Linked DNA regions of Ovis aries. The protein of the gene in region 2 interacts with the protein of the main gene of each other region in a pairwise test. Links are inferred from orthologs where the notes say so. Each region holds a gene or a part of one and is shown on either strand. Other genes may lie near its edges.

Evidence for each region.
Region 1: the proteins of NUP58 (region 2) and MIS18A interact in binary tests that used the Homo sapiens proteins (3 or more experiments, as listed by UniProt). The link is inferred for Ovis aries from reciprocal best matches to the Homo sapiens genes NUP58 and MIS18A.
Region 3: the proteins of NUP58 (region 2) and HTT interact in binary tests that used the Homo sapiens proteins (3 or more experiments, as listed by UniProt). The link is inferred for Ovis aries from reciprocal best matches to the Homo sapiens genes NUP58 and HTT.

What each region holds. Positions count from the first base shown.
Region 1 is NC_056054.1:123,906,159-123,916,802, reverse strand, and holds the end of MIS18A (protein Mis18-alpha), read right to left. Parts: intron 7,788-10,644; coding exon 7,665-7,787; intron 6,003-7,664; coding exon of another isoform or gene 5,939-6,002; exon of another isoform or gene 5,040-5,938; intron 5,022-5,039; coding exon 4,925-5,021; intron 4,362-4,924; coding exon 4,281-4,361; 3' UTR 828-4,280; downstream 1-827. UniProt on the Homo sapiens protein: Required for recruitment of CENPA to centromeres and normal chromosome segregation during mitosis.
Region 2 is NC_056063.1:34,147,753-34,158,396, reverse strand, and holds part of NUP58 (nucleoporin p58/p45), read left to right. Parts: intron 1-132; coding exon 133-157; intron 158-1,137; coding exon 1,138-1,203; intron 1,204-1,520; coding exon 1,521-1,695; intron 1,696-2,361; coding exon 2,362-2,441; intron 2,442-4,255; coding exon 4,256-4,374; intron 4,375-4,732; coding exon 4,733-4,815; intron 4,816-6,871; coding exon 6,872-7,073; intron 7,074-10,644. UniProt on the Homo sapiens protein: Component of the nuclear pore complex, a complex required for the trafficking across the nuclear membrane.
Region 3 is NC_056059.1:116,341,187-116,351,830, reverse strand, and holds part of HTT (huntingtin), read left to right. Parts: intron 1-682; coding exon 683-857; intron 858-2,343; coding exon 2,344-2,523; intron 2,524-2,840; coding exon 2,841-3,017; intron 3,018-3,299; coding exon of another isoform or gene 3,300-3,304; coding exon 3,305-3,376; intron 3,377-4,387; coding exon 4,388-4,594; intron 4,595-5,585; coding exon 5,586-5,708; intron 5,709-7,410; coding exon 7,411-7,624; intron 7,625-7,984; coding exon 7,985-8,130; intron 8,131-9,524; coding exon 9,525-9,702; coding exon of another isoform or gene 9,703-9,800; intron 9,801-10,635; coding exon 10,636-10,644.

The DNA.
Region 1 (10,644 bases), on a different chromosome or scaffold from region 2:
TGCAATATTATCTGAGTCTTTGTGACCCCACGGACTGTGGCCTGCCAAGCTCCTCTCTCCGTGGCTTCTCCAGGAAAGAATACTGGAGTGGGTGGCCATTTCCTTCTCCAGGGGATCTTCCCCACCCAGGGGCTGAACCCACCTCTCCAACATCTCTTCCACTGGCAGGAGGGCTCTTTACAACTAGTGCCACCTGGGTGCATGGAATCAGAACCTGCCAGGGGCCAGAATTTATCTGGGCTCACTGTCCACACCCTGCTTTCCTCTGGCAGTGTAGACCTGAGTCAAGAAGACTAGGAAGTCAGGATCTTGGAGGGATAGTCCCCACGACGGTGTGTGTTTTGATTTCATTGCTAATTCTCAAAAGACTAAATTTTAGGGATCTTGTCACCTTTGGTCCTGCTCATTCCCAATACTTGGAGTGTTCCTCTTGCTTGCATCTGTGCTCCTAATCCTGGCCAGTTTGAAATTGCCAAGGATTGAACAGCCAGTTCACAAATTCCTGAAATTTTAACCATTGGCTGGCTGCTCCTGTGCACCCTGCAGTTAGACAAAGAGACGGCTGGATGAAGACTTCTTTCATGCCTCTCTCCTATTTGACAAGTAAACTAAGGTGTTCAGTTCAGTTCAGTCGCTCAGTCGTGTCCGACTCTTTGCGACCCCATGAATCGCAGCATGCCAGGCATCCCTGTTCATCACCATCTCCCAGAGTTCAAAGTACGAATTTCACACCAAAGGATCACATTTAAACAAGTTTGAAAATAGATGCTTCATCCTAGGTAGTCATTAAAAATCGGGTTACAAAAGAACGTTTAATGACGCAGAAATGTTTATGAAATATTTTTAGTAAAAACAGTATGTCCTGAACAATTCTAAATTTGTACATAAAATGACAACAGGAATGTAGCTCCACAAAGCAGTGGTGAAATTGCGTGTGGGTTTTATTTTGCTCTTTGTGCTTCGTTCACTTTTCAGACTTTCTACAGTGTTCGTGTGTTTGTAATTAGAGGATGAACTTAATCCAGTGTCACTGTATTTATTTTAAATATGGTGGTTCAGATTTTTTTTTCTTTTGAATTAGTTGCTCAGTTGCGTCTGACTCTTTCCGATCCCCATGGGCTGCAGCCCACCAGGCTCCTCTGTCTGTGGAATTCTCCAGGCATGAACACTGGAGTGGGTGGACATTCCCTTCTCCAGGGGATCTTCCCGACCCAGGGGTCAAACGCGGATCTCCTGCATTGCAGGCAGATTCTTTGCCTCTGAGGCACCAGGACATCCAAACAATCAGACTAGAAGTAAGACTGAGGAGAACACTGAATCAGATCAAATTAAACAAGGCTACACCTTTGTCATTTATTTTTGTGATGCTTTACTGCTTTCAAAGTACCATCATAAGCATTACTTTATCTGTGACGCAAGAAAAGCAGGTTATCATAGCTCATTCTACAGATAAGAAAACAGAGGCTCAAAATGGATAAAAGACTTGCCCCAGGTCACAAGGCTAATAGAGCAGTTGAAGCGGGGGACTCTGGCCAGGGGTTGACCACCCCCAAGATTCCCTCAAAAGCTCATCACGTTGCTCATCATGGCTCCTCTCAAGTAGTTCCTACTGAACACCTAGACCCAACTCTGCAAGAAGGCACTCTCATTTTGCCCATTTTTAATGCCCCAAGCCTGACTAGAATCACCCAGGTAGGACATACTCCGTCTAGACATCGATCCTACACAAGCAATAGCCATCGCAGCCTCGTAAGATTGGAAACTTGTGAACATAACAGGAGAGCTTGCTGAGAAGAGCAGAACCCACACTCTGGGATGAAGACCATGTTCTATACACATGCATTCACAACAGTCTATAAATAGGCTCTATACTAGTTTCCAGAGGTTCTCCCTAAAGAACTGGGGAGCACCCTTTCACGAGGATTGGCTGAAGAAACAAATTCTGGTTAGATCCTATCTGAAGTCTCTTTGATGGGGTCCTGTACAGTTCAGGCTGGAATGCTTCTTGCTCCAGGATCCTCACTCCTGCTCATGGGCAATGGTAACCAGAAACAATAGCACACAGTCACAAGGAGTAGGAACCAGGCCTGATTGTCAATTTTAGTATGTGGCTACATAGGGCAAGTCAAACAAACAGCACACCAATGAGCCCTCAGGCAGAGCCTAAAAAGTCTATAAGTCTGAAGTCACTAGGCTTCAGAGAAATGGGTGGTTGGTTTCAGCAGAGGCTGACCCAGAGTGTGAGGACGGGCCCTCCTCCAAAGCGCCACAGGGCAGCCTGCGGAGGACGAGGCTGTCCCACATGGACCCGTCGAGTAGGCAGTGTGGGAGCCTCAGAGCTCTCTTCCCCACGGTGATAGTAAGCCCACTCTTTCAGCAACATCACAGAGGCCAGAGACACAGACTGTGCCTTACACGGAGACACGGCTGTTTCCTGGGATTTGCTTTCAGATGCTTCAACAAAGACTGTGTGATAACTGTGTGTGAGCTCTCCACCCACATGGTTTAAGCTAACTTCGTCTGAAGGACCCTCACTGGAAATAAAACTCCAAACACACAGAGTGTACAGGGAAATGCTAACCAAAGGCCCAAACTGCCACAAAGGCACTTGGGCTGTTTATTTCCTGAACCACAAGAGAGGCTTGGTTAGCACTGCTGGATATTAGAAATCACTTTGCATTGGAGAAATGAGTCGTTTTCAAGGTGTATGGATTGGCTAGAAATTGTAGCCCAGGATGAACAGGGTAAAAGGAATTAAGGAGCCAAACTGGAATGTCCCTGAAAGTGAGTGGAGAACAGTCACCCGTGCCGACTAGAAAGTCAGCTGAATCTCTCGGTTAAAATAACTCTTCTATCTGTTCTAAATGAACTTTCACACAAGCGCCACCGAAACACCTACAATGACAGACCCTGGGGACCGCATCAAGCTTACTGAGGCAGGATGACTATTGCCAGCAGGTGTTGAGAAGAGACCTGGACAGCTCACTAACTTCAGACGATTAGAGACTGCAGACAATCTCTCAAAAAGAACTTAGCAATTGTGAATGATCAACGATCAAGTCAATCTGACTTAGGACCTTTTGCCATGACAACTTGAGGTATTCTCAGAAACAACTGGGGAGGTTCTGAGCAGAAATTGAGTTAAGTTACTCAAACACGCTGAATACTAATGTTAGGTGGCCTCATTTATACTCAAAAACAGAGTAGGAGCTGGGGGAATTTGGGGTTACCTTTAGAGTCCTGACCAGGACCCCTTACCCTGCCATGCCCAGTAAATGTGTGGTATTTAATGACAGCAGGATTTCTGAGCTCATTTAAACAACTGTTTCATAAAAATCAATTGTAAAGCACTTTGCTTTCATCTTTATTTTCCCCCTCATTATAAAAATAACAAGCGCTTACTAGAAGTCTTACATTATGAAAACTGAAAGTTCTCCCAGAATCCCACCCTTGGGAATGATTACTGCTCTCCTTGGTGACTATGCTGCCAGATTACGGGGCATACGGTAGTTAACAAGGGCTTCCCTGACGGCTCAGCAGGTAAAGCATCTCCCTGCAATGCAGCAGACAGGTTTGATTCCTGGAGAAGGAAACGGCACCCTGCTCCAGCAATCTTGCCTGTAAAACCCCATGGACAGAGCAGCCTGGAGGGCTACCGTCCACAGGGCTGCAAAGTCCGACACGACTGAGCGGCTAAGCAAGCACACAGGAGTAAATAAACAGGACCAGACGGAATCCAACCACCAACAGAATACAAGCTAATCTACTCTTGTGCAAGGTTTCAGAGTATTGACAAATAATTCAACTGACCAGTTTCTCCAGAAAGCTATATTCATTAGTTTTCAAAGAAGATTCAACCACACAGTAGATGGAAACACCTCTAAGATTTTCCAAGCACTCGATATTAAACAATGCCCAAACTATTAAAAGTGAAAAATAGTTAAAAAATAGGAAATAAAAAATAACGAATCGATACAGAGGAGAAAACCATTCAAAAAATTATAGCAGTTTGTTATCAAAACAACAACTCTTAAATTCCAGCAATTATCATGACTTTAAAACTGGAGTTTAGGAAACAATCACCTCTTTACCATCAAACACAGCCAGAAAAGTTCTCCAGTTCTTCTCACGTGACCAGCCGGTCAGTACAAGAGGATACAATGTACATGACTGTTTCCAACTCTTTCAGTTCTAAGTGAAGTATATTATAACAAGAATTGCTACATATGAAAGAACTCTCCATCAGCAGAGGCCTGCAGAATGTGGGCCTTGGAACCAATTCAGCTTTTACAACTGGTAAAGGACAGTTTTGATTCGACTTCCCAAAGCTTTGTTTGCAAGGCTTTCAAAACATCTTCCATCTATCAAATGGAAAAAAATAGAAAAAAATACATATGATTAAAATCATACATGGTTAAATATGATTTAAATGTTGATCATTAATATAATTGCTGCTATGTTATACATTATATATATCTGTGTTTATTTAATGGAATTCTATTTAAATAAGACATAAGCCTATTAATAGCAGCTCTCAACCTCTGATCCATAGCTTTTACATTTATTCACCACTATCTTGCCTGTGACAGGATGTTAACATTCAAAAACAAGGCTGTTTTCACCATGAAAATTAAATCAAATACTGATTTAAAGATATATTTCTATTTTAATAGTTTTAGAATACATACTGCTTTGATTTAGCATGGAACGTCTTTATAATTTTTTCCATAAAGTTTTGGCTTAATTTGTAGTTTGGTTCCCAGTAAATCAACTTTACTAACAACTGAAATAAAATAAGCACTCTCTCACCATGAATGCTAAGATCAAAAGAGAAGACACAATTAAGAATTATTCATGGAGCAGCACTTGGTCATTGACTGGAAGTTGTTTATACAAAGATACAAAAAGTGCAGAACAAAATTACCTCCTTTAGAGATTTTTCTATTTCAACTCTACTTTCAAGATTAAAAAGCTCTTTGTCTTCTGACACAATTTGCTTTTCAGATGACCCTAAAACATAACTGAAGTACAGTACAATACAAAGTTAAAATATGAGAAGGGAGTAAATATAAAGTTTATATTGATAACATTAAAACTCAAAGTATATTGAAGTATATATTAGTACCGAGTAAACACATAAAACAATTACTTTTGTTAATAGAAACCTACATAGGAAGCTGAACTACATGAAATCATGTTATTCTCCATAACAGCTTTGTCCAAGAACTCTACATATTTCTCAATGCTATATTTCATTATTGGGAATAAAACTGGCTCTTTAGTAAGCTGGGTGGTACAACAGTAACATTTTGAAGTTTTAAAAGATCCTGAAGAAGCCACTGTTTTATGTAACTTTTCAAGAACATGTGCATTTTCAAGTTTTTGTGTATTTTCAAGTTTTGACTTTTAGTATGTAATCTGTAGCATCAATTGTTGATTACCTAGATTTCGGCAACTTCAACAGTTATTTTATAACTCATGTTTTGCTCTGCTCTCTGAGGTGATGACATGCTGCTGCTGCTGCAAAGTCGCTTCAGTCATGTCTGACTCTGTGAGACCCCACAGACGGCAGCCTACCACGCTCCCCCGTCCCTGGGATTCTCCAGGCACGAACACTGGAGTGGGTTGCCATTTCCTTCTCCAATGCATGAAACTGAAAATGAAAGTGAAGTCGTGAAGTCGTGTCCGACTCTTAGCAACCCCATGGACTGCAGCCCACCAGGCTCCTCCATCCATGGGATTTTCCAGGCAAGAGTCCTGGAGTGGGGTGCCATCACCTTCTCCAGATGACATGCTACAATTTGAAAATATAACTGGCCTAGCAATGGAAGAAAACAAGCCCAGCTCTGGCAACCAAATAAATCTCAACAGTGGAGAAGGTGCTGTTATTTCTCAAGAAAAAAACAAAACATAAAAACCTTCATTCGTTTGTATTTCTTTAGAAGTCTTTCACCACGTGTAACAACTTCAGTACGTCACTTCTGTTAAATATAAACAGTCTTCTGTTGGAAACCCAAGATTAATTGATTAAATTTCTAAAAAATGTCATCAAAGGAAAAATTACAGAAGGCAGTTAATATCTTATTTAGAAAAGAAAAATGAGATGGGGAAAATTAAATGGCACTGATTAATTTATAATGCTGTAAATAAACATTACGGACAGCATCCATTTCTAAAACACACCTGGTTCCCTGTCATTTAAATTCTGCCCTATGAGGTAACTTTTCCTTAAATTCAACTATTGGGGAAAGAACAGCTTCGATACTAGGATCCTCTGTGCAGAAATACAGACATGGATCGTTTTTAAAGTTCTGTGCCAACCATACTTGTTTAAGATTTTATGTCGTTCATACTTGTCCTCTCCCCCACATAATTTCCACAAGTCTTGGTAAAATTCCCATGGAGATTAAGGGAGCAGTTGTTTGGGCATGAGTCTTCTATTTACATATTAAAACCAAATCAGATCTGATCTCTCCCCAGGTGGGCCTGCATGCTTTACATCAATGAGCAGTACTTGCTACATTATTCTCTTGTGTTAAAGGCTGTAAAAAGTTTGCAGATTTCACAATTTTGATCCAAACTTGTCTAGTTTCAAAGATGGTGGTAAAACTGTAGTAATCAAAAAATAATTAAATGAAAAATTATAATAAAAAGAACACTATTCTAAATTTTTTTAAAGAGAAAATCTAAGAAATTCAACAAAGTGACAACATACTTCAAGTAATGAAAGTGTAGGCACTTTTGTCCTTCTTTCTTGATATTTAAGGTTTCCTAGGCATCTCTAAGAAAACCTAACTGGTGGCTCAGCGGTAAGAACCCACCCACCAATGCAGGAGATACGGGTTCGATCCCTGGGTCAGGAAGATCCCCTGGAGAAGGAAATGGCAACCCACTCCAGTATTCTTGCTTGGAGAATCTCATGGACAAAAGAGCCTGGAAGGCTACAGTTTATGAGCTAATAAAGAGTTGGACACGACTGAGCTACTAAACAACAATCTCTAAAGTCTTGAGAGTTACATCATTTCCAGGATAAGTGAAAAGACATTGGGGTCAATTAATTTTGTTTCCAATTTTAAAAGGTTAATGAACTAAAGGGTCAGTAAGATATATGTCATCAGACCCTAATTCACGTTCTCGCCAAACACCTTTTAGAAGTCTTGAAAAATGAAGGTACTTCCTTGCATCTCTCAAAACAGCAGGCAGTTATTTACAGTCCTCTAGGAAATAGCTGGACTTTGCATTTCTACTTTTCCAGAACAAAGGGACTTCTTTCCCAACCATTTCTGAAATTCCTATTTTTTCAAGTTATTATACTAGACTAAAAACTAGAGGAAAAAATAAAATGGACAAAATATATTGATACACATAATTGCTTTAAAAAAAATCCTACTAAACTAAATTTAATTAAGAAAAACAGCAAATTTTTACTCTACAAAATGTTCTCACAGGGCTTTCTTTTACAATTTAGCATAACAGACTTTTCCAATAGCAAATAAATCAGGTCCAAACAACAACAAAAATCACTTGCTTTAGGGTCAGAAATTATTATTTAAAAACATATTTTAACCAAACAATGTTTAGTCTCCAAATTTTCATACCAATTTGTCTGCAAACAACTTTCTGAGAATTCAGCGATGAGCTATTCATGTATGCCTCAAACATACCTTTCAATGGCTTCAACACTAAGGCAGAACATGTCCCTCTTGTAGTCTAGATCCTTGGGTGTGCACCTGTACAGGTAGCCGAGGCTGAGCGAACAACCTGTGCAGTACAAAGTCTGCAGGATGCTGCAACAAGAAACGTCGCCCTTTAGTGACTGGTTACCACAAACACCCCGTTGTTGAGATCTGTAAACACCTAAACGTTTAAGTTGCTGAAGTATGTTACCCTGACCCTACTAGGTCCTATGTATAAAAAGGAAAAAAAAAAAGATAGTAAGATGCTTACATTTGAAAGCACTTCCAGGTCACACTGCCTTCAGTATCCAGTGACAGACAGCATGCACACAAGTGACAAAGCAGAGAGTATGCTGGATTTCCTTGGTGGTACAATGGATAAGAATCCACCTGCCAATGCAGGGGACAAGGGTTCGATCCCTAGCCCAGGAAGATTCCACATGCCGTGGAGCAACTAAGCCTGTGCTAAAGCCCGAGCTCCTAGGGCCCATGCTCCACAACAAGCCACCGCAATGAGAAGCTCGAACACCGCCAGCTACAGAGCAGTCCCAGCTCGCCAGAACTAGAGAAAGCCCATGCACAGCAATGAAGACGGAGCACAGACAAAAATAAATAAAAATTCAGAAAAACAAAAAAGAAGATGAGAATATACTAAGAAGATGCTGCTTTTCTAGAATGTAAACGCCTCAATCTGGTATTAAAAATTAACTAAAATTCTGAAATAAGGCAAAAAGATCGTACATGTTCTTTAAATGTCACATTGTCCACCGAGGATCATTAATGCCCTGGGGCAGGGATAGGCAGATTTTTTTCTGTGATGAGTCAGAGAACAAGTATTTCAGGCTTGCAGGCTACGTGGCGTCTACTGCAACTACTTGTCTCTACCACTGTGGCATGGTAGCCACCACAGATAACACATGACTGAAAGACCTGCGCTCCAATAAAAACATGTTTATAAAAACAGGCGCTTGGCCCATGAGCTATAGTTTGGCATAAAGGATGGGGTTCAGGTGATACAAGCGAGCAGAACTCACAACACTGACTCAGAGCAAGAGTCGATTCCCTTTTCAGTTCTCTAGAAATCTTGATTATGAAGAACAGAAGAGTCTCAGCCTGGTGCTAGAGGTCTTTAATGTGTATGTCACAGCTGCAAATCTTTTAACTGTAAGAGGACAGAACTCGGGCTCAGAACCAGCCAGCCGGGGGTATCTCAGCTAGAATTTAATAACATTTGTTTCCACCGTAATTATTGTCACAGCTACTTTCGACATGTGCAGACTTGTGGCTCAGACGGTAAAGCATCTGTCTGCAATGCCAGAGACCCGGGTTCAATCTCTGGTTTGGGAAGATCAGCTGGAGAAGGAAATGGCAGCCCACTCCAGTATTCTTGCCTGGAAAATCCCACAGATGGTGGAGCCTGGTAGGCTACCGTCCATGGGGTTGCAAAGAGTCAGACACAACTGAGCGACTTCACTCACTCACTCACTCAACAGCAATTGATACATTCACAGCAGTCATACAGATTCCTTTTAAAATAAACAAATAAAAACTCAGGGTCAATGTAATGAAAAATATCAAGTGCGCGACAGCAAAGCTGTAAGCTGACATCAGAATGACTGGAACTGGGAAGTAGAGGACACTCTGCAGGAAGCAAAGGGACAGCAAAGCACCATCATTAGCTCCTGCTAACGGCCTATGTCCTTGGTGAGGCTGTAAACCTCCCCAGGCCTCATTTTCTTCATCAATAAAGGGAGAAATGATCCAAGGCTGGGTTTTCCAAATTGCTACTACCAGCGTGCCAGCAGTACAATTTCTGCTACATTCGCACTCCACCTGTCCTATTATGACTTTAAATTCTCCTTAAAGAGAGTAATTTTTTAAATGAAACTATACTTTATTTGAGTAGGACACACTAACATTACTAGAAATGAAAAACCAATGTTTTAAAATTGAAAAAAAAAAAAAAAAAAAATAGCGGCTGAGACTCTGAGCTCCCCAGTGCAGGGGGCCCAGGTTTGACCCTTGGGGATGAAGGAACTAGATCCCACGTGCCACAACTAAGAGTTTGCACACTAAAGAGTCCACAACCAAAGAGCAAAGATCCCAAGAGCCACCATGAAGACCCTGTGGGGCCAAATAGATAAATATTAAAATAAATAAAAAATAATAAAATTTTAATATGATTATTCATTTCTGTTGAATTGCTTGTGTACCACTTATTCACATGCATCAGTAAGACAACTTTTGGGCAACAATTCTTCAAAGCAGAGCTTCCCATTTAGTGTGCTGAGGATGCTGCTTGCAGTAGACGGTGGCAGGTAGAGCAGGACAGTGACCCCTTCAACACCTGGAGAGATAAAACAGGGCCTGGGACAGCTGGAGCCCCTGTGCCACCGGGCGTGCAGCCTTGTCTTTACCGCAGTGGGCCACATGTCTGCATGTGCCGCATCAGCATTATCTATGGGAGCTACGGCATGAAAAGTCGGGAGCATTTATCTAAAGCATTCTTTGGCTCAGAGATTCCACGATAAAGATACTTTCTTTTCCTGTTTTTATTTTCAATTTTCAATTTTGGTCCAAGCCAAACACCCAAAATGGAAGTGTTGGAACAGGCCTTGAGAAGTTTAGAAACTCTTCCATCTTAAATCTACAGGCGCCCACTGTCACTCAGGAAACCACCTGCCAATGCAGCAGATGTAAGAGACGTGGGCTCGATCCCTGGGTCAGCAAGATCCCCTGGAGGAGAACACAGTAACCCACAGCAGTATCCTTGCCTGGAGGATCCCATGGACAGAGGAGCCTGGCGGGCTACAGCCCACAGGCTTGCAAAGAGTCAGACACGACTGAAGTAACTAAGCATGCACAATGACTGATTTGATATCACCATGAAAAAGGGCTTCCCTAGTGGCTCAGACTGTGAAGAATCCACCTGAAATGCAGGAGACCTGGGTTTGATTCCTGGCTTGGG
Region 2 (10,644 bases):
ACTGTTTAAGAGGCAGTCTAAGAAATCCTTAACCATTTCAACTTTTACCTTCGTTTGTGTTAGCTTAAAACTTGTATTTGGAATACACTGATAAATAGCATATTTTTACACGAAGCTTTTCCAATTTTCTAGGTGATAAAACAGGAACAAGACCAGAGTAAGTTTATAATTTGACTTCTAAAATATTTTAATTAAAGAGTTTTGCTTATTAAACTGTAAGTAAATGGTATGGTTGGAAGTAAATGGAACCATACACACGTTTAGAAGAAAAATTATTTTGAAGTTTTTGTGACAAAATAATAAACAGGCTGTGGAGAGATTGTGAAAGGTAAGATAATTTGAGAAAATTATAACTATTTCTTTCTACGAAGTAGTTGGCATTTCCTCAAATAATAAAAACAAACACAAATATATGTAAAGTGTCTCTTTACCTTCTTATAAATATTGAACAACTCATGGACTTTACTCTTGGACCACTTTTTATTTATATATACAAATTAAACATGTATATGTACCTTTTCTTTTATATGTAAATTGCTCTGCCAGTACCATTCACTTCCTGATGCTGAAGAAGGAGAAGGCCTCCATGTGTGTGTTTGTGTGTTTGAAGAGTTTTATTTATTCCTGTCTTTGTTAAGTAGTCATGATTCTTTTCAGCTACCCCCAGGTCTTATTTTGTTGAAGAACAAATTGAAGTTATAAAATAATAAAGTAAAAGTATTGTGAGCATCTCACTGTGAGAAGTTTGGCAGGTTTTCTTTCTTTAATGAATGCTGTAATATTTTTGAACTTAATGAAATGTCAGTCCTGGGATTTTTGAGCTGGAGAAACTTAGTTTAATATCTCATCCCACCTGCAGTATTCTCTGATTTTGTTCTGAAACATTTAGTCAAATGCATCTATGTGTACTTGTAACAAATGCCAGTCTTCTTAGAAATCTCCATGTCAAGTGAATTGTTAGTTGTTGTGTAGGTCAGAAAGTTTATTACTCTTTATGAGGAACTTTAAAATCATCCAGGAAAGCTATAAATAAGGAATATTTGCTCTGTTTTCACATGCTTTAACACACTGTAGTAGAATTCAACTGCCAGCTTCTTATGATCTCGGATGTTAATGCGCCTGTGGCATCTTTCTCAGGGACAGTAAAGCATTGAAGGATGAGACTCTGCCTGCTGTCATCTGCCAGGACGTCGACAACCTCCAGTAAGTGCATCAGGAGCTAAGTCAGACTCCAACGTGGGCGGGTGCGTGTGGATTTCAGGGGGGCCATCTCCTCCTCCTCCTGAGCATTTAAACTTGGGGAACATTGGAATGCCTGTAAAAGGTAAAGAAGCAGAGCAATTGAATGAAGGAATTAAAATTCTGTAACTGCCATTCTGTGAACTGTAGATGAATGTTTTAATAGTTGCTTCTCAAAACACTTGGACTTAAAACTCTGACCTACATGTGGTAAATGTACTTTTTTTCTGTAGAAAACCAAAGGTGTATTTTTTTTTAAAAACTCAGTTTTCTTTTTTTAGGAAATTTGTGAAGGAACAAAAACAGGTTCAAGAAGAAATTAGTAGAATGTCTTCAAAAGCAATGCTTAAAGTCCAGGAAGATATTAAAGCTCTGAAGCAGCTTTTGTCACTGGCCGCCAGTGGATTGCAGAGGAACACTCTCAATATTGACAAACTGAAAATAGAAACCGCTCAGGTAAACTTGAGTGTCATTTTGTTGTAGGGTTTTTCATTTGTTTGTTTGTTTGTTTTTTAAATAGAAATAGGTCTTTTTAAAATTATGAAGTTTTGTGCATAAGAAAACCACATAGCACATGTACTTCTAAATTACTGTAATAGTTACTGGTTTTTATTGAGTGCTTACTTTGTATGGGGCAGTATTCTAAGCAATCTAGATATATTAACCCAGTGATTTTCCACAGTAGCCGCCTGAGGTGACGTTGGTTAGAGAAGCAGAACCTGTAGCAAAGGGCTTGGTGCACAGGAAGTGCTGCTGCTGTCATCATCCTCAGGGTTATTTATCTTGTTTTTTTTACGTCAGTGTTTTCTATGGTTATATAGTATAGGTTTTAAGTAGTAATGTCTGTATCTGTGGATGAATAAACTTCATGAATCCTACATAAATGCATAGTTTAAGATAGAACAGCAGCTGTTTTTACATTTATTATGAAATTTGTTCATGAAACTATAGTTTGTCCTGCCTGAAAGGAGGTTTCAGCGCCTTGTGAAGGAGCTTCAGTCATAATATGTTCTCACAGCATATGAAGCTCTGAGAGTGGCTTTGTTGAAATCCTGAGATGGTTGGTATTTTTAGCTTGACTTTTAACTGGCTTTTTCTTTTTTAAAACCTCTGTTATATTAGGAGTTAAAAAATGCTGAAATAGCTTTAAGAACCCAGAAAACACCACCTGGATTGCAACATGAAAATACAGCTCCTGCTGAGTAAGTTAAATAAATGTTTGTCTTTAAAATAGCAGAACAATAAAAACCGTATACAGGCCATGGATTTCTTAGTTCACTTTTTAGCAAGTCTAGGTACTTTGTGTGAATTTTAAAAATTTAATTCTCATAATAATTCTGAGAAAGTATATCACTCCCATTTTACTGAAGGGTAAGTGAAAGCTAAGGTCGAGCTTTTAAGCACTCTTCTGCAGTTGCATTTCATATTGCTTATAAGGTCTGTTCCACTTGATTACGTTGTGCAGGTGTTAGAAACTTATGAACTTATGATTATACCATAAGTACTTTCAGTTTAAAAATATTATGATAGTCTCTTCCTTAAACAGGGCATACTAAGTGTAGTTTAACCCTTTTATTTCCATAAATTTATTTGCATCCATAGCTTTTATTTGCATACATAATAATCTACAGGAAGAAAAATTGTGAAGTGTAGATAAGCAGCTTGAAAAATCCCCCTGTACCAGCTTGTATACTCATCTAGTTTCCACACATGTGATATATATCTTATCGTCTGTTTCCATATCCTTTTGTGTTATGCAAGATGATAATAGTGAACATTGTCAGATGCTTGCCATACACCACCTGGGTGGCTTGGCTCTTTACTGCCGGATCTGACTTTGCGCAAATCCTCTTCAGCTGTCAGAGTCCTGTCTAAGATGGGGAGCCTGAGGCACGGAGATGGAAGTCCTGAGCTTCTGGGTGGGTGGGGTTCGTTGGACTCCTGGTCCCTTATTCTTTTTTTAAGTTTTGTTTTGATTTCAGATTTGCAAAAACGTTTCAAGAATAAAACCAAGAATTCTCACCTATCTTTCACCCAGATTCCCCGCATGTTAGCGTTTTTAATTTGCAGTTGTTTTGTTCCTTGCTGTCCATGTTTATAAACACATTTCCCCTGTGTAGAATTGTTTGTCAGAATGATGCCCTTGAATGCTTGAGTGCTTCAGAGTCTATTTCTTCAACATAAGGATATTCTCTTTCATAACCACAGTGTAGTGGTCAGACTCAGGCAGTGACAATGATGGTGATACTCCTATTGCCTTACTCAGATGAGCATGGGGTGAGCTGCTTTGCTGGACTTCCTCAGTATCTTATCCTGCTGTCTTGTTCTTCATACTGCCATCAGAGCTAATTCTGAAATGGACTGAATCATGATTTGCCACTGTAAAAACTTTCAGTTCCCCATTTCTTATAGAATCAGTTCCAACTGTGTTTCATGCTATTCAAGGTCTCTTTTTATCTTTCTAGCATTCTCTGGTTATGTTTATCAGAATAGTAATAGTAATTATATACTTCTGTAGTACCCTGTGGTGTTTTCAGCTTATAAATAATTTTTATATATAAAAAATTATCAAGAAGAGGAAATTCACACTGCTGCTGCATTAGCCAAAATATAGAATTTACTTGAATTTTACTGTCTTTTCCACTAGTGTATTTTTTCTGTTCTAGGATTCTTTTCACACTGCATTTAGTTGTTATTTCACTTCCAGTCTACAACATTTATTCAGTCTTTTCTTTGATGACCTTGACATTTAAAAAAAAATATTGTTATTTTGTAGATTATCCCTTAATTGAGATTTTTTGTGATTGGAGTAAGGATATGAATCTGTTTTTGATACCTTGATAACTTATAAATTTGAGATTTTGTTTCGGTAATACTTGTGTCACTTAAAGGTATATTGTGTCATCAGACTAATTCAAAGGCCATAGTTAAACAGAGGCCTGTTTTTGTTGGAGTTTTGAATATGAAGGAAGCAGTGTTTTCACACTGGTCTGACTTGGTAAATGTTCTCGTGTAGCTACTTCAGGATCCTGGTTCAGCAGTTTGAGGTGCAGCTCCAACAGTACCGACAGCAGATTGAGGAGCTGGAGAACCATCTTGCCACCCAAGCGAACAATTCACATATCACCCCACAAGGTAACATGCTTTCTGTGGTCATTTTTTTAAGTGCTTTTAGTAGTTGTTGTCTTAAGCTGCCATAAGACAGTTTCCTTTAAAGTCATTGATTAGATCTTTATTTCTTACAAATATAAAATGCTGTTATGAACGATTATGATATAATGGGCACATGTCCTAGGGCCCACCTCCCCCAGATTACTGATAGAGAGAAGTCCTTCTCTCAGTCTGCTCTGCTGTCTTCTCTCTTCCTTGGCAGTATTGGTGTAATTTTTTTCATCCTACACGTTAACCGTACCAAGAAATGGACTCAAGTAAAAAGAATAATATTGATTGTGTTATATATGTATTTGTGTGATAATATGATTTTCTTTTATAGATTTGTCAATGGCTATGCAGAAAATTTATCAAACATTTGTAGCTTTAGCTGCACAGCTTCAGTCTATTCATGAAAATGTGAAGGTGAGTTCTCATTCCGTATTCATTTATCTGGACATCTGCACCAAGTGAAGTATTTGTTCATTTGCAGGACAAAAGTGTCCATGCTCATCACAGAAATAGCTCAAATTACTTGTAAGTGAAAAAGACCAACTCTGAAATAATCTATAATATGCCCAGACACAACTGGTCAAGTGTTGTGTGAAGTGTGTTAACTTTTTCCATCAGCATATTGTAAATGACTTTCCACATTCATACATGTACTTGTTTGCCATCGTTTTAGTAGTTAAGCAAGATTTTGTTGCATGTATGTGTAGTTTGTTTAACCCATTGTCTTTTGTTTGACATTTTGGTTATTTCCGTCTCTTATAGCACTATAGAAGGTAAATATTCTTAGTAGCAGAATCATTTCCCATTGCTTGAATTTTGTGTGTGTTTTAAGTGTTTATTGGACCCTTCATAAAAAAACTTGCTAACATTTGTCCCTTCTAAACACAGGAAACTGTATTTATCAAATAATAAAAAATTTGCCACTGAATATTTTGAGTATTGTGCAAGACATTCATTTTTAAAAATTACTTGGGCTAAATATAGGTATACTTTACCAATCAAGCAAATATAATTGGTCTTTCTTGGATTTATATATGGTCAGAGAAAATCTTTAAAATTCAAAGCGTCCAAACTTGAATCTAGATAAATTCTTAACTGTATAGATTAGAGTTTCATGGAGATTACCAGTGTTTTCATTTTTATTCTGATGCATGGTGATAGAATTTTTTAAAATTAACCACTTAAATCATGCTATTTTTGAAGTGATAGCATAGTTCAGACCTTTTGCTTTGATTGATTAAAAATTTTTAAACAAATCTTTAAAATAACTTAATTTTTAAAAAATAATTTTAAAGGAGGGATTTTTATTAAATTCTCTTGAAACTTTGTAATCAGTGTTTAGTTTTTCAAAGTGCTGAAGGTGGTTCTGTCTTGGCACTTTGAAGTCTGTGTTGTGCAGATGTTTTTCTTCCTTGTCTTATGAAAGTTTTCAGATATATAAAAAGTAGTATAAAGCTGATTTATTTAATCTAAACTCTTAAGGAAAGTATTTAATAATTCCAGGGTGAAACAGAACCATTCCTATTCATAGCCTTAATTAAGGAAGGTGTTGTGTTGGGTAATCCTACCCATCTTATGAACTTGGTAATTTTTTCTTGGGCTTCCGATAGCTCAGTTTGTAAAGAATTCGCCTGCAATGAAGGAGACTCCAGTTTGATACCTGGGTCAGGAAGATCTGGTGGAGAAGGGATAGGCTTTACTCACTCCAGTATTCTTGGGCTTCCCTTGTGGCTCAGCTGATAAAGAATCTGCTTGCAGTGTGAGAGACCTGGGAAGATCCCCTGAAAAAGGGAAAGGCTACCCACTCCAGTATTCTGGCCTGGAGAATTGCATGGACTGTATAGTCCATGGGGTTACGAAGAGTCAGACACGACTGAGCGACTTTCACTTTCACCATGTTATTCTCATTGTAAAATAATCAAACAGTATTGATAAAGTATACCCTCCAAGCTCTCTTTGCTTTGGTGACATTTTAATATGTGTCACCTGCACCTTTTAAAAGGTATTTAACATATATTTTATATACATATATCTATGTATTTAGTAAGCTTTTTTTTTTTTTAAAGCTGTTTATATCTAGGTTATCCAAAGGTTGGCCATTAAAGGGGAAGCTGTCATGAAAAACTAGTATATTTAAAATGGAATTTTAGATACTACTCTGCTTGTCTGCAAGCTCTCTTATTTTAAAGAGGGCCTCAGGAAGCCAGAATATGCAGGCAGTTGATTGTAAAGACATATGGCTAAAAGCAGGAAGACACTATACAAAGGTGTGGTAGAACTGTCAAATTCACCACTTCCCACACCATGCATGTGCAGCGCCAGCACTGTGATTGGCAAGTTAGATGAAGTATATGATGCTGGCAGTGTTTTTGATCTGTCTTTGCTAACTTACTGCATGGTTATATTCACGCTCATATTGTCAAAGTCAGCACAAGACGTGATTAACATGTTCTATTTTTCATTTCTTTAGGTGCTCAAAGAACAGTACCTTGGCTACAGGAAAATGTTCTTGGGAGATGCTGTGGATGTGTTTGAAGCCAGGCGAGCAGAAGCCAAGAAGTGGCAGAACGCACCCCGAGTCACTACTGGACCCACCCCCTTCAGCAACATGCCAAACGCAGCAGCTGTTGCCATGGCTGCAACTCTTACACAGCAGCAGCAGCCTGCTACAGGTCTGAATGCATTCAAGTTATAGCTTCTTACTGTTAAAGTGCAGAACACTGATGTGCATTTTTATGAGTCTTCCTTTTGTGTTAGCACTGAAGAAATTTCTGAGTAACTGTTCCAGTACAGTCTAAAAATTGTGATGGACACAATTATGAACATATACCTGATAAAAACACAGGGTAGTCTTAGCAATAATTATACATCAATTAGATACTGAATATTGTGAATTTACTTAATGTTATTTGCTGTGTTGCTATAAATGCCCTTTAGAACATGGTGTTTCACTACTGAATTACATTTAAGAACAGATTCTAAATTTGTGGCTGTATCATATATTGTTTTAAAGTCAGAGGTAAAGTAGCCAGAGGTTGCATTCTTCTCTCTGTGATGCTGACAGGCGGTGTGTTCTCGCATGCAGTGGTTACAGAATGCGCATACTCAGGATGAAGTATGTCTTTTTTGACTGAAGTTGTGTTGAGAGCGGTAGGTTTGTATAATGACTGAAAATAGAACAGGCCCTCTTAACCAAATTTAGAAGAAGGTACATGCTGGATACCTTTCAAAATGAACAGAACAGTGGCAAGAGCAGGAAAAAGATGTTTTGAATTGCTCTGGATTGTGCATGAGGTATGTGCTGGGAGGAGCAGATGAAATAACTGGGGTGATACTGGAAAGCAGATAATTGTAGTCCTTGGTTTAATTTCACTTCCTATGAGAGAGACATTTCTGTGGTCCAGTTCTGCGTGTGTAGTTTGGTCCTGGGTCTTTCAGAGATTATTGTCTTTTTATTTCTGCAGTCCTTGTTTTGTCAGGCTTAAAGTGTGACATAGAGAAATACAGTCTTAATGGAAACTGATTTTTTTTACTCATTCATACATTTTTGAATAGTGCTTATGAGTTACTCTGTAGCGTGTGTCTTTCTGAGAGTTCCATAGAGTCCGGTAGTAAGTTATAGTGTGCAAAAGCAAAAACTGTGCACGTCTAGATTGCATTCAGGCTGCCTCTACAGGAGAAGCATTCTTGCTGGCAATTTAAAAAACTGTTCTTCACACTTAAAGAGATGGCAGAGTTGACTTAACCATCAGTGAATGGCTGATAATGGCTTTATGTCAAATCCCCCATGTTCCATGGCTGGACCCATGTGGACAGTGGTCCACACCAGCACTGTGTAGTAGTTCTCTAGCTGGCTAGGGTGTAGGACTGCATTGTTATATTACAGAGGGAAAAAGTCATTGTGGCATTGGTTCCCAGCGGGTCATTGTGGGGTGGCTAGAAATCGAATCAGCCCTGTACTGGTGCCTTCGTTTCTCCTGATGATTTATTTAACCAGCTCATCAAACTAACTGTAGTACCAGTTTACTTTTCAGAGCAAATATTGATTCTAAAATAGACCAGAGAGCAGGACTTGGTTAGGTATTCTTTAAATGTAAGAGATTTCTATTCTAATCAGTAGAACTGGAGAAAAGTCAATTATCTAAGCTGTTAATAAGGGAATTATGTTCTGTGGTGTATGCTAAAATTGAGGTAAAGTCACCTGTTGGATTTTTGTTTTATATATTTTCTTATGTAGGCAGTCTTGAGAAGTTTGTAGGTTTCCCTGCATACATTTTGGGCTTAGAAAGATACTTGTCCCTAGGAAGATACTTGTTCATTCTTTGAGTGCTGCCTCTGTGCCAGACTCCAGGGTTAGCAAGGTAAACAGTAGAGATGCGGTCTGTGCTCTCTGTAGTGGTGGAAAATATTAGCTTAACTTAGAGGAACCATCCTGAAGCACCCTCTGCTCATGTGCTTTGGTTCTTTCGGACCATCGCCAGGCTTTGGGGACACTGACTGCCTTGTACCTTCCCTGTATTTGTGAAGCCCATCTAGAGCTTTCTGATCAGGTGGCAGGAATTGTAATTTAGTAACCTAAATAGTCTTACAGTGTTTTCATTTTGCATTGTATGGATTTTTGGACTGAGGAGCTGAACAATAGTGATCATTTTGTGCTGTCTTCTTGGTTCCCCTTTGTTTCTCCGAGGGTCTCCATGCTCCGTGGCCCATCCTTTTATGCCTGTCTGGGTCAGTCAGGATCCGCTGCTTTAGTCGCGTCACCCACCGCTGGAGTGAGACTGAGCAGCCGTTAGATGCATGCAGCCCATTAGAAATGCCCTCTTTATTGCATTGCACTTTGTACCCGCGTCTTGTCCCTTATGTCCTGTGACTGGTGAAATCTTTTAAGTGCCAGTAACAGCATTTAAAGACCATCTAGATGAAGCTGGGTGAGGCTTGTATGCTGTTTTTAGTCAACCCTGTTGGTCTGTGCAAGGTTTGAGTCGTCAGGGGGCTTTGCTTCTGTTTGCATATAGGTTCTTGACTTTATTAATGTAAAAAAAGCAGACTGCTTCTTAAGCTGCTACCTTCTAAAGGTGCATTCTGTGTAGTCTTTCTTGGAGGTGGAAATATGGATGTAAGTGACTTCATGATCCTCCTTCAATGTCTTTTAATGAAAAAATACATGTAATAGACCTAAGGCCTGTGTGATTTATGGTTATTGCTTCTGAAAGCTGAAGAGAATTGATGACAAACTCCACAGGCTATTTATGTATGAAATTAACTTTGTATGTGGATAGATTACGTGCTGGCAGATCTGGAGCACACTGTCCACCATGCTTCTGAAGCCTCTTAAAAAGCTTAAGATATTGACATTAGGCTTTTCAGTGTAATTTTTACTTAGGATAGATTGTTTTAAGCTAATGAACTGGGATTAAGTTTTGCTGTTGTGTTTTGACGCTTTTAAAAGTTCTTGGTGTTTACATAAAAAGACTTTTTCTCATGTGACTTAACTGCTGTTTTTAAGGAGAGCTGAGACATTTTGTTAGGAATTCCTACTTTCTAGCTTTTAGTGTAGGTTTGGACATTTAAGGTGTATTGCTAAATAGGAAACTTCTTCCTTTGAGTTTCTTGTGGTTTTACAATTTTGTTGTATGTAATAACCAAAGGAGCATTCCCCACTAAGTCAATGAGTAAAATTTTTCAAATTGGGGGAAAACAGTTTTTGTTTTTTTTAAGAAAAATTATTACTTAAAAAAAATATGATTTAGGAATAACCATCCTAATTACATTAGGTATTTTGAATGATCGTTGAAAATTATAATAAAAGAAAAATTTAGCACTTTAGTCCTTTTCCTGTGAATTCAGTTTTACTTTTAAGAAAGTAGAATTTATCCTGAAAAATATGAATTAAAGTGCTAACTTGATTTTGTTATGTGTGAATATATTATACAGTAACTTTTGTAAAATGTTACTCTACATGAAGGTTTCACTTTGGGCAATCACTGGGATATGTTACTACTAACTGGGTATTATTTATGGAACTAAGAGCCTCTCATTGAATGACTAATGACTATTCAGATTTTGAGACAGATTTCTTGACTTGTTTACGTAATCTTTGCCTGAAGGATGTAGATTCTGCTTCTAATAGTGAAACTAATTTATATGGTGGCCAGAGTGTAATATATGCTAATACTTTGGCATGGGAGATATTTATCATGAGTTTTTACTATTAAAAAATGTTATACATTTGCCTACTAGTTT
Region 3 (10,644 bases), on a different chromosome or scaffold from region 2:
TTGTTTGACTGTCCCTCGAGTCAGTTTGCTAGCATAGCAACTGCTGCATTTTAAGAGTGGTGGCCAGAATTGAGAGTCTCAGAGTCCGGCATCATTGATGCCTTATCGGAGGCATATGATAAGCCTGTGCATAGGCAAATGACAAGCCTGTGGTGATGCATCCCCCAAATAAGGAGCGGAGCCGGGCAGACCCCACCTGTTCGTAATGGGAATAACAACACGGTGAGAAGTAACTGTGAACTGAAATAACCTTCACTGGTGAAGAATTAATTTTTCAGAAAAGCTTTTAGTTGGGGTTTCCATGATAACATGGACCCTGCAGGCATGTTTAGGCTGGTAACTGAAGAGTGAAACGTGGGCGTGGGGGGGCTTCTGGATCCTGACAGCTTTCAGGGCCTTCCAGAAGCTGTAGCCGTGAGATCAGATGCCGCAATGGGAAGAGAGCACGGAAGTGTATCTGCAGGGTGGAGTCGGCCTTCAGTCAAGCTTAGTTTCCGGCCCGTTAAGTCTTTTCTTTAGCTTTCCGCGTGTGCTTTATCCCGTAGCTCAGGAGTAGATCACCAGGAGTGGCCTTACACACATCATTCTGCTGTGGCCGTATTTAGAGTAAACCGACTGTTAGAACTGGGGCGGGGCAATAATCGTCTTCAGTGTTGTGAAAGTAAGCCCACTGCCGCCTCAGGAGCGCCGCCAGAGCTTCTGTTGCTCCTTCTAGAAGACGCAGCCTGTCCAGCACAAAGTCGCTGAGTCCGGAGACGTCTGGAGAGGACGAGGATCCCGACGTGGCTTCCAAGCTGGGGATGTGCAATAGAGAGATCGTGCGGAGAGGCGCCCTCATTCTCTTCTGCGACTACGTCGTAAGTGTGCAAATGCTGGCGGTGGGGGTCAGGGGTTCATGCAGGTAATGCTGCTACTGACTGACTGCTGCCGTCCCACCGTTCCGCCAGTGAGAAACTAAATTTGAATCCTGCTCCTAACTATAGTGAGAAATCAGACTCAGAGTCTGGTCCCAGGAGTTTAGGTTCGTCTGCAAAAGGCTGGGTCAGCTATCACTTGCTCAGGCCTCTTGCAGCGCTGGGCGCCTTTGCTGTCTTCAGTGATAGTAATAATGGAAAGAAGCTACAAATCTGGCTGAGTGAGGTTCTGATTAAAATCTGTTTTAATCTGTGGAAAAGGTTTTCGGAAGTTAATTGCCAGAAGTTAATTGCCGCGTTTTTAATAGATTCCTGTTTGAATGACATTCTTTTAAAATATGACTCTTTTAGTATTTTTTTACCATAAAATTATAGTCATCTCTTATTTAACACAGAAAATTTGCAAAAGCCAAATAAGTAAACAGAAGAAAATTAAGCCTTAATGGTTGTTACTCAGAGAGGACCCAACATTCCACCTCGTTGAGGTTTGCTCCTTTCTCTGGGTGGACGGAGAATGCCGCCCGCCTCCGGGGCAGACGTGACGTGCTCCCCTCCGCCCTCTGCAGAGCTCTTTTCTGCCATGATAGCAGTTTGTTAATACTTACACTTTGCTTTACATTCTTGTTGTTGAAGTAGTTTTTCTATCTTGTTCCACTTTTTAAAGTAATTTGGTATAATTATATAATGCTGTTTTCACAGAACAGTAAGAAAAATATTTATTTTATGTTAATACTATCAAATTATCCCACATAGAAAGTATTAATCATTAACCCGATGGCAGAAAATGTATCTTGTTTTGTAATTTCTGCCCAGGATCAGGAATTTTAATGAAAAGGCAGCATACATATTTTAAAATGTGTACTTTTTATCTCCTCCTAAACCTTACATGAAATATCTCCCCTTAAGGTCCATCGGACCTGTAGGAAGCACCATATTTCAGATTCGGAAGCTGTCAGGACTGTGGCAGTCAACAGGGAGCTCTTTCTCTCCACTGACTCGTCACAGAGTTGGGGCAAGAGTGGCTGGAGCGCTCCCATCAGGAGGCCGGACTGAGGCCCAGGGCAGGGGGCGCAGGGTGCACTCCGGCAGAGTGCCACCTGCCCTGGAGTCTCACGCGGCCACCACTGCCCTGGGTGCCCCGCGCCCCTCAGCCACACTCCTCAGTCCTGGGGCCGTGCTGCTGGGTTGCACGTCCCTGGGGCCTGAAGGGAGGTCACGGCCAGGGTGTTTGGTTGTTGGGGGCGGGGTGGGAGTCAGGCTCTGTGACATGCGTTCGCCCTCATCAGTGTCGCTGTCCAGACGCTGGGCATTTTCAGTGAGGGCTGCGGTCTGGAACCAGCACACTCCTCCCTGCCCGTCCTGGCCTCTTCTTGGCATCGCCGTGTGTGCCCACTGGACGGGGGCCTCTCATTGCTGGCTTTGTGCTCAGTGCCAGAACCTGCATGATTCGGAGCACCTGACGTGGCTCATCGTGAACCACATTCAAGACCTGATCAGCCTGTCCCACGAGCCCCCCGTGCAGGACTTCATCAGTGCCGTCCATCGGAACTCTGCCGCCAGTGGCCTTTTCATCCAGGCGATTCAGTCTCGCTGTGAGAACCTCTCCACTGTAAGTCTCCCGGGTGCCAGCCGCTGCGCGTTTTCTCTGCCTGAAGAATGGAGCATTGGCGCTTTTGGCTTCTCTTGCTGTGGAGCGTGGGCCCGGGGCGTGCGGGATGCAGAGGCCCCAGAGTGTTGGTGCACGGGCTTTGTCGCTCCACTGCGTGTGGGGTCCTCCCAGATCAGGGATTGAACCCTTGTCTCCTGCGCTAACAGATGGAGTCTTTACCCTTGAGCTACCGGGGAAGCCCCTGTTGGTTTTTTTAACCTATTCTTTCCACTGGGTAAACCCGCTGCCCTCGTCTCTGTCCTCCTCTCGCTCTGCAGCCCACCATGCTGAAGAGAACTCTCCAGTGCCTGGAAGGGATCCACCTGAGCCAGTCGGGTGCCGTCCTGACGCTGTACGTGGACAAGCTTTTGTGCACGCCGCTCCGTGCACTGGCTCGTGTGGTCGAAACCCTTGCTTGTCGCCGGGTGGAAATGCTTTTGGCCGCAAATTTACAGGTACTAGGAGATAACACTGCGGGTTGATTTTTACCGGAAGCTTGGCAGGGCAGGCGAAACTCTGGGCCAGTTCCTTTTCCACAGGCGGCGTCTTCACGGCCGCGAGGGAAGGTGCAGCATGGCTGCGTCGGTCCTTCTCGTGTGTCTGGCATCTGTGCTTCCTGCGCTTCCAGTCCGCCTCCGCTCCTAGGAGCCGGACGCAGCTGTTGTGTTTTGTAGATGAGCACGGTGGTTCTGGCCTCCTGTGCATCGCACACGCTGACGTGGTCTTGTCTCCTCTAGAGCAGCACGGCCCAGCTGCCGGCGGAGGAGCTGATCCGGATCCAGGAACACCTGCAGAGCAGCGGGTTAGCACAGAGGTAACGTGGGGCCGGGCTCCTCGTTGCGGGTGCGGAGATGAGGGTCCGCAAGGGCGCAGCCTCACAGGGCAAGAGAGGGACGTGCGTTCTAGGTGGCAGATGGGCCTCGAGAGAGCCTTCAGGATTACTGGTGTCTGTGTGCAGAGTGCAGACCCGCTCTGCCGCGTTAGTCCCGTGGCTGAGAAGGGTGCGTATCGACATAGCTCTCACTCACCGTCTGCTCTGAGTGGAAGTACCGGTGATCAGCTCTGTCTTAGTGAGGATCAAAACCTGTGATCCGATTGCTGAGTTAGACAGCAGAGCTGAGGCACGTTACCCAGAAGTGTATCTGCAGCTCATCAGCGTTCTCTCTCCATAGCAATCTATCACCTCCTTTTGTCTGCAGAGCTTTAGAGGCCTTTATCTGAAATCCTGATATCTATGACGTGAGTGTATTTCCATCACTGCAGAATAAAAAGGAGCTTCACCTTCTCTCCTGCACAGTAGGGAAGATGTGTGCAAGAGAGCTGGGTCAGTGTGCTGCGACTGCTGTCTCAGGAGAAGCAGTTGACGGTTTAACTCGGAGGGACAGGACTTGCTGGGCAGTGTATGGCCTTAGGTGACTTGTCAGTGCGTGGAGTGACTCGCATTGTAGTCTGCATCAGAACTCTGTTGTTCTCAAAACAAGTGACGGGAGGTCGGACTTTCTCTTTTTGCCCCTAGATGAGGAAGAATAAAAATACCCTGTGCCAGATGAGGTGACTCGGTCATGGAATGAATGTAGATGGGTGTAAGCTGTGTATTATGTGGGGACTGAGCAGATTTTGTGCACTGGGGTCGTACCTGGTCCACTGTGGGTTCATGAGCAGCGCTGTGTGGCTGTCACGCTGTGTGTCCCTGCGGCACTGCTCGGTGTGAATGCAGTTTCTGGAGAACGCTAACGGGCCACGTCTCTGTGGAGGTGGCCTGTCACCTGGGCCTGACTTTGCACCGTGACTTGTGTGAGTGTTGGTGAGAAACAGCTCTGCGCAGTTTCAGGCTCGTCTCGTCTCGCTGGAGGAGCCCGTTCAGCTTCTAACACGCCTGCGATTGGCTTCCAGACACCAGAGGCTCTACTCCCTGCTGGACAGGCTTCGTCTTGCCACCGCACCGGGGTCGCACGGCCCCACGCCCCCCGTCACGTCCCACCCCCTGGACGGGGATGGGCCCCTGGCACTGGAGGCAGTGAATCCTGACAAAGTAAGTGTCTGCATGTTGACACCCCGGCCCTCGGGTCGCTGAGGACTGCTGTCCGCCTGGGCTGTGGGGTGGCTCGGGTGGCAGGCTGTCCCAGTGCCCAGCACGGCCCCCGAGGGCCCTCAGCCTGCCCCAGTTCTTGCCGGCGGTGGCCACAGTTGCATCGGTGACAGGGCTGTGAAGTCTGGCCCTGGCTTTTAGCAGGGGCTGAAGGTTGGATGGCCGATGGAACACGGTGTCTGTGGCCCACCACCCAAGTTGTCTCCTCTGCTTAGGCCTGCTGACCTGTGTGTATCCACACCCCACCCGCGGGCCCGGGCACCTTGTCCTGCGTTGGGAACCACTCACCTCAGAGCTGGGGCCCGTTCAGAGCTCTGGCAGAGTCTGGCTCCTCTCCTTTTTGGGAGAGAGTTCAGTTTTAAATATGTCGTTGGACCCCAGAATCCAGCAGCCCAAGCAGGGACTAGTGAGACCCAGGCCACAGTTCTCAGGTGTGACTTGTCCTCACGTCCACGGTGCTGGCCCTGGGGAGAGGGAGCAGAGTAGACTCCCGGAGGCGATGGGTGCGGTGCCCAGCAGGGTGGACAGAGGTGGGCCTGCTGCCTCGGGGCACGGCTGAGGCTCAGGGACAGCGGTGCCTTCAGCAGATGAGAGGAGGTGGTGCGGACAGGTGACAAGTCCACGTCGCCGCCCTCGTGGCCGCTCCCATAGGAGGGCCCGCGGAGTGGTGACGGCCGGCATCCAGTCTCACTGAGGGTCGGTCGTGGCCCAGGGACGGCCTGGTGCCCTCGGGCTGGGCCATGGACGTGGGGATCAGGCAGCGTGGCCGGCATCTGGTCTCACTGAGGGTTGGTCGTGGCCCAGGGACAGCCCGGTGCCCTCAGGTTGGGCCTTGGGCGTGAGGGTCAGGCAGCGCGGAGACAGGCTGGCGGCCAGTTTGCAGTCCCGAGAGCCCGCGCGGCCGCAGCCTGCTGTCTCCTTCCCTTCTGCCCAGGACTGGTACGTGCAGCTGGTGCAGGCCCAGTGCTGGACTCGGTCAGACTCTGCCCTGCTGGAAGGCGCAGAGCTGGTGAGCCGGATCCCCGCGGGCGACCTGGGCGCCTTCGTGATGCACTCGGTACGGGGGCCGGGGAGGCGGGCCTGGGTCGCTTTCGTCGCTGTGTGGGCCTGCTCTGCTCCGCTGCTGTGTGGCCGCTTGCGGTGCACACCCCTCACCTTCGTGCCTTAGAGGCAGGGAGCCTGATGCAGCATGTGATCTCAGCCCCCGAGAGTCCTGAAGGGGGGCGTCGTGTTTAACTCACCCTTTCACGCAAGTAAAGGAGGTCAGGTATAGGTGTTAGTCGCCCAGGCGTGTCCAACTTTTGGCGACCCCATGGACTGTAGCCCACTGGCTCCTCTGCCCCTGGAATTCTCCAGGCAGGAATACTGCAGTGGGTCGCCATTCCGTTCTCCAGGGATCTTGCCACCCCAGGGATCACGCTTGCACCTCTTGTGTCTCCTGTGTTGGCAGGTGGATTCCTTGCCACTAGCACCCCCTGGGAACCTGAAGGAAGCAGGCTCCCTTGAATTGTAGTGAGGTCTGCCTGCTTGTCTCGTGCCCCTGACGGGCGGTAGGTGTCGCGGCACGTGATGGAGCAGACTCTGTGAGGATGTTCTGGAAGCTAGGAAGCCCCTCCCTGCACCCAGTGCATTCAGCGAGGCCCCCGCAGGCTGCTGTGTGGAGCTGGCCACAGTCTTGGCAGGTCCCCTCTCAGCCCTCCTGGGACCAGCAGCTGATAAGCCTTCAGGGGTCGTGGTGCTGCCTTGAGTAGACCAAGGGGGAGTGAAGTAGGGGCCCAGGAGACAGCCCAGGCGTGACACAGAGCCTCACGGTGCAACCACGGAGCCGCGTGTTCCAAGCGCTGACCCTCCAATCAGCGTGAAAACAAAAGCTCCCTGGAAAAAGAACAGTAGGATCAGTTTGCTAAAATCATTTTAAAAGCCATTCAGTGAAAGCTGATTTGCTGGCAAATGATAAGCTTACTTAATAACTGATTCATGAATTTTCCAAATTTGCTAATTAGACTTTTAACAGCTTTAAAGAAAGGCTCAGCTGTAATGGCTGTACCAGAGGGCGCAGTTTTGGTCACTGGTGATGACACGCTTTTCTGAATGGTAACTAAAGATCAGCTGGAAAGATCCTTACATGGCTTTCAAAAGCTGGCAGAGCGCAATACACATCGAAGCATCATCGAATGAGTGCCGTTTTTCCAATCAAACTTGCCGCATTTCCATGCCTGCTGTGACTTCTTTCAGCTGCTTTTGAAACATCACTTGTCTTTTTCAGACACTGGGGACTTGGGTGTTCCACTGATTTCCTGGGCGGCACATCAGCTTGATTTTTGTGTCTGTATCAGTTAGAATTCAGTCATGTTTAAGTTTGACTTCAGATAAATAAGAAGGCAGAAACATTTCTTTAAAATCAAAGTCGCAGGACTTGCCTGACTGTCCAGCGGTTAGGACTCTGCGCTTCCACTCGGGGGCGTGGGTTCCTCCTTGGCTGGGGAGCTGAGATCACACATGCCTCATGGCTCGGCCAAAATAAGTAAATAAAAATTGAAGGACCTAGTAGAGTCCAGAAACATACCTCACAGGTCGGATGTTGGACGGGGGTGGTCGGTTATCTGTGAAGGAAGCGGGAGAGGATACTTGTTCACAAGTCGCTGACACCGTGCTTAGCTGCCATCTCCGAATGTCTGTGTTCTGCGCTCTGCTGTGTGTCTCTTGCCTGACTGAACACATGTCACAGTCGTTGTTCAATCTCTAATGCCCTAATTCAGGAGTTCAACCTGAGCCTGTTGGCGCCGTGCCTGGGCCTGGGCATGCGTGAGATCTCAGGGGGCCAGCGGAGCCCCCTTTTTGAAGCAGCTCGCATGGCGACTCTGGACCGCGTGACCGTTGTGGTCCAGCAGCTTCCTGCTGTCCACCAGGCTTTCCAGCCGTTCCTGCCCCCACAGCCCGCCACCTACTGGAGCAAGCTGGATGACCTCTTTGGTAACTAAACTGAAAGCTCTTCTTATTTTTATAAAATGCTGCAGAGCCAACGCTAGGCTTTGCACCAAGTGAAAGTACAGTGAACGCTCTGGATTAACACTCTGAGGCAACCGGGAGCCCGCCCTGGGCCCTGGCTCTGTGTGTCCTTGGTGTGTGTCCCGCTTTGCCATTCTTTGACGTGGCCCAGGCTCTGGGCCCTGAGGAGCGCAGTCTCAGCCTCGGGAAACAGGGCCTGGGCTCGTGGGACGGCGGGGTGTGTGTGGCGCATTCCAGGAGCTGTGTCTGCAGCCGCTGTCAGCTTCGCGGGGAAGGTCAGGGCTCTGCTGAGGGCTCGTCCACCCACGGGCCCTTCTGTTCCAGGGGATGCTGCGCTGTATCGGACTCTGACCACCCTGGCCCGGGCCCTGGCCCAGTACCTGCTGGTGTTCTCCAGGCTGCCCAGCCATTTGCAACTTCCTCCTGAGAAGGAAAGGGACACCGTGAAGTTTGTGGTCATGACCCTCGAGGTAAGCCGCTGTGCGGGAACTCGGGCTCAGAGCGGCGGGAAGTCTGAGGGCGCCGCCCGCAGAGGGAGGAGGCTCCTCTGTCTGAAACCCAGCGGGGCCGGCCGAAGCCCACCCGAGGCCCACCTTCCCGCAGCGACTTGTCCCGCAGCACGCCCACCCCCGCTCTGCTGGGCGCAGCCCCTCCCCTGGGTGCTCCGCTGTGCAGTCTGCCTCGTGGTTGGCAGCCCCTCCCCGCGCCTCTGCCTCTGGGCTGGGGGGCGGGCTCTCTGAGGAGTCAGACCTGGGACCTGGCCTCCTGCCCGGGGTCTCCCAGGTACAGGGCAGGGAGGCCTTGTTCACTTACTTTTGAGTCTGTTTCCTTGATGCCGAGAAAGTTTTTTGATTTAGTACAAACCGTCCATTTAAAATTTTTTCCAGGAAGAAAAAGTTATGTGTGTTCTAATTTTAGATACTTAAAAAGTAGTGATCTGAGAAGTTTGTTATATTTTAAGTTGAACAGTAAGCCTGCAATTTTCAGCTGTGGGGAATTAAACGCTCTCGGTGTTAACACTTATAAATAACCCCCAACCCGAAGCGTGTGCTCAGGGTGGAGCACAGCCCTTTCATACGCCCTCTGGAGAAGCGCCCGGCCTGCACCCTGCACGGCAGATACCTGAAGAGTGCCCACACGCCCGCCGCCTGGCTGTGGGGAGACAGCGGCGTGCAGAAGGCACTCACGCCTGCTCCTGAGGCGACGAGCCCGAGTGCTGTGGCGCCGCCCTTCAGACGCTGGGGCCGCAGGAAGGCTGGCAGACGGGCACCTGGTGGCCTTGCAGAGGCTTCTGCCGTCGCCGTGGGCAGGGCAGCCCTCCCTGCAGTGCCCCGTTCAGGGCTCCCTGCAGCCCTGTGAGAGCTGCTGGTCCCGTTTCACAGGCGAGGGAAGCCGGGCTGAGAGGCTCGACCCGCTGGGAAGCAGCCAGCACGGTCTCACTGCCAGGTTCAGCCTCCGTGACTGTGACCAAGGCCAGGCCCCAGGCTGTGGGAGCCCCCCTGGGCTGTTGGTCCCCCAGGCTGTGGACTGTGGGACCCCCGGGCTTTGGGAGCCCCCCAGACTGTGGGACCCCCAGGCTGTGGGCTGTGGGACCCCCAAGCTTTTGGATCCCCCCTGGGTTGTGGGAACCTCCAGGCTGTGGCAGTCCTAGGGGAGCGCCTGGCCCGCAGCCTGAGTGGTCAGAGCCGGCGGCGCGGAGGCTGAAGGCAGGGCAACCAGATGAGGCGGGCGTCCCCCAGTGAGCAGGCGGGTCTGGGTTGGGCTAGAGGAGCTCGGGGTGGTGGCCCGAGGCCATGGCTCCGTAGGACACTCTGGACTTGCCCCACGGTGCCCAGGGCCTTCCTTCACACAACCCGCCCCACAGGCGCTGTCGTGGCATCTGATCCACGCACGGGTCCCGCTGAGCCTAGACCTGCAGGCGGGCCTGGACTGCTGCTGCCTGGCCCTGCAGCTGCCCGGCCTCTGGAGCCTGCTGGCCGCTCCCAACATGGTGACCCACGCCTGCTCCCTCATCCACTGTGTGCGGTTCATCCTGGAGGCCAGTGAGTCTGAGACGGGGGCGTGCTGTCATCTGGCCCTTGAAGCGGCGGTCAGCGCCACAGGGCTAGTCGCAAGTGGTCGCTTGCCACCTGCTCTCCAGGTGCTGAGTTGGGACTCGGGAGTGAGGAGGTGGAGGATTTACGGGCCTTGCCTTCATCTCCAGTCTCCTGGAGTCGGCACTAGAATTTAGTTGCTTCTGTGTAGATTTGGAATTTCAGCTTTCATTAAAAAATGCATCTAATTTATGGCCCTTTGATTTCTGGTCCTGGTTAACTGTTTCATTCTTTTAGTCGTAAATCATCATAAGACTAATAAGATTACGTTCAAAAAAATTCCTTGTTTTCTGTTATAGTCGAAATGCTTGTTTCTATACTGTATTAATTTTGAAATAAAAGTGTCTTATTCTTTTCAAGGGACAGTGTCCTTAACAAGGGTCATTAGTCAAAATGTTTTTAAAATTGGGTGTTATAGTTTACATGTGAGAGGGTGTCTTGATGTTTTGTATTTTTAAATTAAATATAGAGTGGTGTTTTGAAGAGTCATTGTTTAAATTGTTTTCATCTGTGCATTTGTAGTAACATGAAAACGAGGATCCAGGGAGTGATTTACCAAAGCCAGGCTTCTTGGGGCTCCAGGCATGCTGTTAGCAGTAATGGATCATGAGCTGCCTGATGAAAGCCCTCAGGGTCAGAGGTGGCAGCGAGCAGGAGGACTGGGGACTCAAGTGTAGAAGCGTTTTAGACTGACCCAGAGGTTGATACCCGAGTCTAGTGGGTCTGAAATCGTCCCAAGTTGAATCTAGGAAATTTCAACCTCTTTCGACCTAGTCTGTCACTTGGGAAATGTTCATAAGGCTGCGCGAATGTAAAAATCTGAACAGAAAGGAGTGGTCGACATGCTCTGGAACGCTTCTGTTTGTTCTGTTGTGATCTTAGTTGTGGTGC